2 linked regions of the Coturnix japonica genome follow. The protein of the gene in region 1 purifies or fractionates together with the protein of each later gene. This does not show direct contact. Links are inferred from orthologs where the notes say so. Each region holds a gene or a part of one and is shown on either strand. Other genes may lie near its edges.

What was found. The genes of interacting proteins can lie anywhere in the genome.
Region 2: the proteins of SMNDC1 (region 1) and SF3A3 purify together in Homo sapiens (affinity purification with mass spectrometry; 3 studies listed by BioGRID and IntAct, with this or other methods). This does not show direct contact. The link is inferred for Coturnix japonica from reciprocal best matches to the Homo sapiens genes SMNDC1 and SF3A3.

What each region holds. Positions count from the first base shown.
Region 1 is NC_029521.1:22,832,076-22,836,844, reverse strand, and holds the start of SMNDC1 (survival of motor neuron-related-splicing factor 30), read left to right. Parts: upstream 1-1,740; 5' UTR 1,741-1,860; intron 1,861-2,112; coding exon 2,113-2,232; intron 2,233-4,769. UniProt on the Homo sapiens protein: Involved in spliceosome assembly.
Region 2 is NC_029538.1:3,123,666-3,128,438, forward strand, and holds the start of SF3A3 (splicing factor 3A subunit 3), read left to right. Parts: upstream 1-1,580; 5' UTR 1,581-1,627; coding exon 1,628-1,723; intron 1,724-1,845; coding exon 1,846-1,893; intron 1,894-2,019; coding exon 2,020-2,072; intron 2,073-2,902; coding exon 2,903-3,008; intron 3,009-3,386; coding exon 3,387-3,459; intron 3,460-3,842; coding exon 3,843-3,934; intron 3,935-4,208; coding exon 4,209-4,291; intron 4,292-4,603; coding exon 4,604-4,742; intron 4,743-4,773. UniProt on the Homo sapiens protein: Component of the 17S U2 SnRNP complex of the spliceosome, a large ribonucleoprotein complex that removes introns from transcribed pre-mRNAs.

The DNA.
Region 1 (4,769 bases):
CAGACAGAGCTGTGGGAGCACTGCTGTCAGATGCCAGTGCAGAGCAGGGGGTGCTGGCACTCAGTGGAGCTGCTGTGATAGATGCCAGGCTTTTGCCTCCTCCCCCCACCCAACCCCTCCATTCATCACAGCAGCACTCCTTGTTCCGTGCTTCCCAGGTCTCTCCCCACACACAAACACAAAGCACCCCTACGCTGTTCCCATGTTAACCTCGAGTTCCTGCTTCCCAACCCTCCCACGCTGCTGGCTCACTGCTTCAGGCTCCTCTAATCCTCCCAGGCTCTTCTACCCACTGCTCTGGCCCTTGCTCTCTATTTCCAGCCTCCCATCATCTTCTCAGCTTTGCTGTCATCCAAGCCTCGTGTGAACAGAAGCAATCTCGGCCGCAGCCTACCCAGCACCCTGAGCTGCAGAACCAGCATCTCCAGGCCCCAGGCAATCAGCACCAACACACTCGCTGACACAGAGTGCCTCGCAGAGAGAAGCCATGCCTTGACGTGGCATATTCCTCCATGCTGGAGGCACACGTCGAGCTGAAAAACCACCTGACAATCTGCCAGTTGTGTATCCTGACGCAGACCCATTGAACAGACCAGCTGTGTGCCGGCAGGTTGGGATTTCCTATGGGAGACACCATTTTGTCAGGATTCACAAAGCTGCCAACAGTAGGTGAACAGAAAACTCAGAACCTCAGGCTCTTCTGGAGCAGGTGATGCCCCAATGAGCGCAGGCTTTCTGTCACTTCTCCCTAATACTGACCTTTTCTTCTTATCTCCACGATGCTCCGCCCTGTCTCTTCATCCTCATTCAATTCTGATTCACCTCTCCCCCTCACTTTGAGTCACTGGGCCTTTTCACTGATGGGGGATAATTACTGTAATCACTCACAGTACAGAACATGTCAGAACTCTCTGTTTCTCCGCTTAGCGCCATACCTCAGGTCGGGTACCGGGGTTACAGGGAGTTTAATTATGTTCAGAACCTAAATTCACTTCACAAACAAACTCCTGTAAGAACAGGTATTTCAAACAGCAAGAATTAGGCCAAGATTCAGGAGTTGTAATGGCAAAAACAAACAAACAAACCAAAAAGAGCCAAACTGTGTGAAACTCCGAGTCCATGATTTGGAATAGAGAGAGAATGGAAACTCCAACCTTGTAATTTAATGGAGCAACAACAGCAATGCCATGAAATATCACAGAACTGCATCTATGGGCAAACTGGATGGCTCTGCCTACAATAATAAACTGTTACACAAAATAAATAGAAAGCATGAGAGGTTAATTTGTTACAGAATCACACAATGACCCGGGTTGGAAGGGACCTCAAGGATCATGTAGTTCCAACCCCCTGCCTGGCAGGGCCACCAAACATACACCTTTACTAGATCAGGTTGCCCAGGGCCCCGTCCAACCTGGCCTTGAACACCTCCAAGGACGGGGCATCCACAACCTCCCTGTGCAGCCTGTTCCAGGGCCTAACCACTCTGCTAGTGAAGAACTTCCCCCTGACATCCAACCTAAATCTTCCCTCTTTTAACTTAAAACCATTTCCCCGTGTCCTGCTATTGTCAGCCCTTTCCAAGAGTTTACTCCCCTCCTGGGAGTAAAAAATAGAACTATAGGAAAATAGAATAAGTCTATTGTGCGCGCAGCAGCATCGCCCCCTACCGGCCATCACCGAGCCGTGCCGCTCAGCGCCGCTCTCTCATCTCGCGATGCCCGGTGCGCGTTGTCCGCCGGCTCCTCCCACTTCCCGTCCCGTAGCGCGGCCCGCAGCTCCGGCCATCAGGCGGTACCGGCCCCACGGCTCCAGCGCGGCGGCCCGGCCCGGCCCTCGGGCCCCACAGCGCCCGCCGAGGTGAGTAGCGGCCGCTCGGTCCCTCTATACCGCCCCGCTGCCTGTCGCTACCCGCCGGAAGGCAGCCCGCGCTCGGGCCTGGGCCTAGGCCTAGTGTTACGGCCCTGCCTCCCCGCACGGCCGGGCCTTGGGAAGGGGAGGGATCGGGCTCGTTACGCCGCAGGCTGCCGTTGTTGTGCAGCTCTCAGTGCAGGTGAAGGAGCTCCGTGCCCGCTGTTGTTGTTATTGTGCTGAGCTGTGTGTTCCCTGCAGATGTCGGAAGACCTGGCCAAGCAGTTGGCCAGCTACAAGGCCCAGCTGCAGCAGGTCGAGGCGGCCTTGTCTGGGAACGCTGACAACGAGGACTTGCTGAAGCTAAAGAAGGACTTGCAGGTGAGGCAGTGGGAGCGGCCTGAGGGTGTTTGGGGGTTTTTTCACCTTTCCTTGATGTCTGTGTGGCAGCTGTCTGTGGTAGAAGTGCCGCTCTGCAGCACAGAGACTCGAATCCCGGGAGTTAGGGATGTTACGGGGAAGTTCTTTACTAGGAGAGTGGTGAGGCCCTGGAACAGGCTGCCCAGGGAGGTTGTGGATGCCCCGTCCTTGGAGGTGTTCAAGGCCAGGTTGGACGGGGCCCTGGGCAACCTGATCTCGTAAAGGTGTACGTGCTGAAGCCTAATGGGTGGCTTAACAGTGCTTCATTCTGCCTGTTCCTGAGCTGTCAAATCCTTCATCTAGGATCCGTGTATTCATTACGTGCAACGATATAAACTTCAGTCTGTTTCTGCATCCCTTGTACATCTAATCCTCTGTTGTGCTAAGAATTATGTAAGAAAGGAAGACAGATGTGTCCTTCATTTGCTACCTGCAGTTTCTTTAAACGTTTGAGCGTAGCACCCTGTAAAAAGCTCAGACCAGTTCTGTGCTTCAGGTACTGTTCAGTGCCAGGAAGACCAGCGGCTAATTTTAAATTGATAATAGGGCTCTTAGATTCTTGTGTATAGAAAGTTACACTGGCATAGAAGAAAACAGCACTGTTCAAATCTCACGTGAGAGTGCAGGATGCTGCCTCCTTTCTGCTGTGGATTGCTTTGACACAGTCAGTGATCTTTAGAATTCCTTTTAAATGATAAAGGCTTGGTGCCCACAGGGCTCTTAGTAGATCATCTGAATGTCCTTTGCTGTACACTGTTAAAAGCATGTGTATATGTTTATATTTTTAAAATGCACAGCCAAACCCATATGGGATATTTCCGATACCAACCCGACCTCGGCTTTGAGATCATTGATGTGAAAGGACAACTTGCAAACTTTTTAATAAAAGCTTTCTGCACAGAATGGGGAAGATGTTTACACTGTCGTCCCCAAAAGGTTTGCTATTCATATGTTCCACCTTGCAAATGACGTAGACAATGTTTTGCAGACTTAACATGTCAACCTAACGATTGTAAACGTGGGTTCAGTGCGTTCTGTCCTGACTATGGAGCTTTTCTTTTGTTCAGACTTAATGTGAAGCTGAAAGATCCTCTTACATTTAACATAGAGATGCACTGCTGCATTTTGTATACTGAGCCTATTCCTGATGAACGGGATTAAAATAAATACGACAAGAAACTTTTACAAATGCTTTGCTCTTTGCCTTTTGTTCCACTGAAGGGCTTCTTTGGACACTGTCCATACAGCAAAGCAACGAACTCTGTGCTTTGTGCGAGGTAGAACTGATGGCAGCCATCACCTTCTGTAGTTGGAGATGGAATATAAAGTTCTGCCTGAGTTTTTTAGAGAGCAGCTGGTGAGGAAAAACCCTGACAGACTCTCACTGGAGTTCCCTGCAGGTCACACTCCCATGCCACACAGACACAGCAGCCCATCCTGCTGCTCAGCTCAGCTCCTGGACTAAGCTGCTGTGGTGTCTCTTGTGCAGAGATGTTCATTGAATAAGCTGCTCCCTTAAAGATTGCTACAGAACGATCTCAGGAAGATTTGTACCAAAAGTTTGCTATTCGTTGCTTGTTGTTTAAATGACTTCATCGGATTTGAAGAATTGCTGGTAGAATGGTTTTCAGCTACTCCCATTTGGAGTTCTGTAATAAACCACCGATGAACGTGATGAGAACATGTCAACACTTCTGTGTCACGCTGGTAGCACGCACAGCAGAAATGCTGGCACTCCATTTACATGTATTTGACATGCTGAGATGGCACCCATTTCAAAGCCTCTCAATTTTCAGACAACATACAGTTGTATGTTGATGGCTGGTTTGGTGTTTCTCACCTGGAAGGAAAAATTATGCAGATATTGTGTTTTCTGAAGAGCTCTCAAACTGGGTAACCTCAGAGTCTGTTCTAGTTCAGCTGTAATGTTACAGAAGTTAGAGATCAAAGTTAAATAGAAATAGTTTTCAGCATGTCACTGTGCTTATAGTCGCTACCCATTGTGATTACTGTTCAATTTAGAAACAAGCAAGTTCTTAAAACAGAGAACAGAGCTTCTGTTAGAAAGGTGCTGACAAATTAAGACAGTAACAACCGCTACAAACAAACAGGACATTCATTCTGGTTGTACAGGTTATTGGATGAAAGTGCACAGAAGGGTACATTGCATTAACCTGCTATCTGGGAACTGCTTACAGTCTTCTTTGTTCTTGAGGAATGAAGAATAGCTTCTTCACCACCATTCCCTCAGCAAGTCTTAAGTCCACAGTTGGACTAGTTCTAGTTGAAATCAGTGGTCTCAGTGTTGGGGAACAGGGATATAATATGGGGAGGAAGGTTTGAGGAGAGGGCTGGCTGCGTGCTCCTATCTAAATGAATAAGGTTTAAAGGAACTGGAGAAATTTGTTAAGCACACGAACTAAAACCAACCAGAAACTTGCTGGATTAGTAAGGGAACGCTTGACCTGAAATCTTGAGGTCACTGAGTGTGGAGAAAA
Region 2 (4,773 bases), on another chromosome or scaffold:
GAGCCTCACGTTTTTAGCCAAAAAAGGAAATGACCCAGCTGCACGTAGAGCTGGAACATCTGGATTTTATCCCTGTCATGAATGGGTCATGGCTGCGAGCGGCCCCGGGCCTGATTTACGGGAGGGGGAGGGTGATGTCATGCACAAACCTCCCCTGGGTTCTCAGAGCATGGTCTGAAGCAGGCACGGAAATACTCCTCAGCACGCAGCCAGGCGAGCAGAGCCTTCACTGTGAGCCCAGCATTAACCACACACTGAGCTTGAAAAGCCACCCTACAGAGGGACACGGTGGCTCCTGCCACATGCTTTTGGGGCTCACTGTGGGCATCCCTCGCTGCCCTGTGGTTGAGGGCTCTCTCTTTCCAAACATTCTTTTCAGCTCCCTGCTGGAGGTCACCCATTTCCCAGCTGCAGGCATCTACATGCAGCGTCAGGTCATGGCTCCAGCACAGCCTCTTCTGAGCTCTTAAACCCAACATAAACCTGCCCCAGCAGCTCCTGCAGCCCTGCAGGGATGGGTCTGGAGACCAGGTGCAGCTGAAGGCTTGGACTTGGACCTGTGTGTGCTAACAAGCCCGGGTCCACTACTGTCCATACTGCCTGGGGTAGTGGGGAACCAGAGCTGAAGGTGAACTTTCTCCTTTGCCTCTGTTACGTGAGGTTAGGGATGTGGCTGAGCCCTTCAGGCATCCTGAATGCTCCTCCTGCTGTTATCCCTTCTTCCAGACCCTCAGCTAAGGTCCAAAAAGGTGGGGAGGCCGCAGAACTCACAGAGACAGCTTTATTCCTCAATATACTCAAGGATCATGTAGTTCCAACCCCCCTGCCTAGCAGGGCCACCAAACATACACATTTACTAGTTCAGGTTGCCCAGGAGACCCCATAGATCCCCATAGAGACCATAGAGACCCCATAGATCCCCATAGAGACCCCATAGATCCCCATAGAGACCCCATAGACCCCATAGATCCCCATAGAGACCCCATAGAGACCCCATAGATCAGGTTGCCCATGGCCCCGTCCAACCTGGCCTTGAACACCTCCAAGGACGGGGCATCCACAACCTCCCTGGGCAGCCTGTTCCAGGACCTAACCACTTTCCTAGTGAAGAACTTCCCCCTAACATCCAACCTAAATCTTCCCTCTTTTAACTTAAAACCATTTCCCCTAAGTCCTGACATCCTTCAGCCGTGATGTCCAAAGCCCATTAAGCACAACGTCTGTTCATCCCAGGAGCAACATCTGTAACCCCAAGGCAGGCAGGAAGGAGGCAGCACCGGACTGGACATGTTTTATTCTGCTTGGGCTGTGATTCATGGCTGTATAACGCTGCCCACAGCCACATTGAAGCTGGAGGCTTTCACCCCAGCCTGGGGGCACCTGCAGTGCTCTCAATCCTTACGACTTTATGGGTTTGAAGCGAGAGGTGTCAGAAAAGTTCCCACTTTTCTGGGATAACTGGGATAACTGGCTTGTGGCGGCCAGTGGATCTCACTGCTCTACACCTTCACATGGGCTAAAATCAACGCGGAACCACATTCAATCCGGATCAAGCGGCTCAGGGAAGGGGCCGGACCCTTCCGGTGTTACACAGCGAGCTTCTGGTTCCGGGCTGGAAGGGGAGAAGATGGAGACGATCCTTGAGCAGCAGCGGCGCTACCATGAGGAACGAGAGCGGCTGATGGACGTCATGGTGAAGGAGATGCTCACTAAGAAATCCACGGTGAGCCCGGGGATGGGAGTGGGGGGACACAGGGGGTGTGTGCCCGGGGAGAGGGGGGGGGGGTGTGGGGGGGGTAGGCCGGGCTCAGGCCTTCATTATTAACGCCGTTTATTTCTATGCAGCTCCGCGATCAGATCAACTCCGACCACAGGACTCGGGCTATGCAGGATGTGAGTGGGGTCGGGGTGTGAGTGGGGCTGGGGGTGGTTCGGGTAGCTGTGGAGGTGCAGGGCCCAGATTGGCCCCGGTTTGGTTGAGGTTCTTTGTGTCAACGTGAGGTTTGTGTTGTGTTTTAGAGGTACATGGAAGTGAGCAGCAACCTGAGGGACCTGTATGACGATAAGGATGGGTGAGTGTATAGCGGGCTGGAATGGACATGGGGCTGCCTTGGATCTGCTTTATACACCACAGACATGATGCTACAATGCAAAGCTGGGGGTCTGCCCTAAAGAGGAGGACCCAGATTTCACATGAAACATGCAACACAAACACTTCTCAAGCAGAAAGCACAGAGCAGTACTACAGCCCTGTCCCCCTTCCTATCCCCATATGGGGGTGGAGCTGATCCCCCACCACACTCCTACCTCCTCTCACCCAACCCCACCAGCTGTACCAGACCCTCTGGTATTGAATCATTGAGGGAGACGGTCTCTAACTGAGACTGCAGCGTTTGCAATAGAGATGTGACCCTGATCCTCAAAGCACAATCCTGGCTGCATGTGGAACATCAGTGGGTGTATGGGAGATTGGTAATCACAGCCTGAACCTCTGATTAATCAGCTGAGCCAAGTGTTGGGTCAGCTGTGGGAGCACAGGTGAGAGTAATTTAGCTGTTCCCCATAAAGGGGTGGAGCTTGACTTCACCTCCTCTAGACCTCATTGAAGGGCTGACCACCACTAATGCAGCATCTCTTGGTGATTGCTGCTTGGTAGTGATCACTTCAGTGGTTCCCAGCAGATCTAAGGCTTCCATATGGGTGAGCTTAACTTGTAAATAACCTTTTGGTTATTTACTACCATCTTTTCATTATTGTCCCCATATGGTGGGGCTGTGATTTCAGTCTCACTGGTGTTTTGTGGGAGCAGAATGCAGTGTTAGACTTCCAAACATTATACCAATATAAACCAACATAAACGTGTTTTCTATATGCAACCTGTCTTCTTTTTATGAACCTGTAGCTTACGGAAGGAGGAGCTCAGTGCCATTTCAGGGCCAAATGAATTTGCTGAATTCTATAACAGACTGAAACAAATAAAAGAGTTCCACCGCAAGCATCCCAATGAGGTAAGCAGCAGCTCCATAAGGATAACTGGTTTGTGGTGTGTTGGGCTTCATCTCTGCTGTATTAAAATGTCATTCAGGAAAACAAAGTGTCTAGAAATAGGTGATGCTTTGAGACTTTATATGAGCCTCTGTCTGAGTAGGAGAAAATGCAGGATGCTCACCATGTCCTCCACACTCTCTATTAGTTTAAGAGCATTCTGCTTCTGAGCTAGCATTCATTCTTGCCTGCCTAATGCTGTCTTTAGTGCAAATATAATCATGAAGAAGTGCTTGAAACACCTCTTCAGTTACTTGTTTTACTGTTTGCAGTCTGTATTAATTACTCCTGGGCATTAGCTGAACTAATCCCTTTTTCTATAACTTCTTCTGTTCCTGAAGATTTGTGTTCCAATGTCAGTGGAGTTTGAGGAACTGTTGAAGGCCAGAGACAACCCAAGTGAAGAAGCTCAAAGTAAGTCTTCAGGGTTTTGTTTGTTTCTTGTTTGAGGTTTGTTTAGTTGAGAACACATTGCTTGCCGTGATTTAGTGACCTGTCTGTTCTGCTTTGATTTCCACCTCCCTTTCCCTACATTAACCATAACAACTGTTTTAATTTCATTTAAATTCTTCTGGGCTGCAGCCACCCTGAAATATTCCACTGTTGAGATGGTTCTTTTGGGGGATGGTCTGATATAACACTAGGAAGCTGGTGGCCATCTAGTCGATGAGTATCCATTTGCATTATAAACATGCTTAAGAAAGATAAACTAGTCTGCAGTTCAGCTTCTAAAGCATGCATATAACAAGCAGAGGATGTTGAGTTTGTAACAAAGCCCTGCGTGCTCTTTCCTGCAGACCTGGTGGAGTTCACAGATGAAGAAGGGTATGGAAGATACTTAGATCTGCATGATTGCTATCTCAAATACATTAATCTGAAATCATCAGAGGTAAGTGGTTGCAGTAGTGTGGGCACTCTGTTGTATTGCACTTCAGTGCTGAGGGCTCAGTGGTCTGTTTTAAATGTCATTTATTTCCAAATAGCTGTTTTATGGTGCTTGTTTTGCATTGTGTTAGAAAGCACACTGTAAACCCCAGCCCTGTGCAGACCATGCAGAATAAAGGCATGAGCTTTGTGCTTTTCTTCTAGTCTGGTGACTGGAAATTGGTTGCTGATATGCTGTGTGTATCTAAAGTCTGAATCAAACTTCCTTTCATTCTTAGAAACTGGATTACATCACTTATCTGTCTACATTTGACCAACTCTTTGACATCCCCAAAGAGAGAAAAAACGCTGAATATAAGAGGTGAGTCTTTTTCCTGCCTGCTTCATTCATGAAAGTAGTTGATGAGAAGGAATTTGCTTCTCAAGTGTCCAGGAGCAGAGTTAGTAATCAAGCAGAGGTGACAGAGATTGGGTCACTGAGCTGTATTAACTCGGTCATAAATCCCTTGAGCCCTGAGAGGACGTGAAGCACAACAAAACGTGGGAAGCCGTTGGGCTTCTAATTTTGAGGCAGTACTTTAGTTTGCTGTATTGAAATCTGTTCTAATCTCGGTAACTTTGTTATATCAGTACTTTGATATGGAATTGTCTGTGCTGATAATTACTTTGCCAGGTATCTTGAAATGCTTCTGGAGTACCTACAGGAGTACACAGATCGTGTGAAACCATTACTGGACCAGAATGAGCTCTTTGGGAAAATTCAGACCGAGTTTGAGAAGAAGTGGGAAAATGGGACATTCCCTGGCTGGCCGGTGAGCAGCTGTGAATTCAGTGTCAATGCAT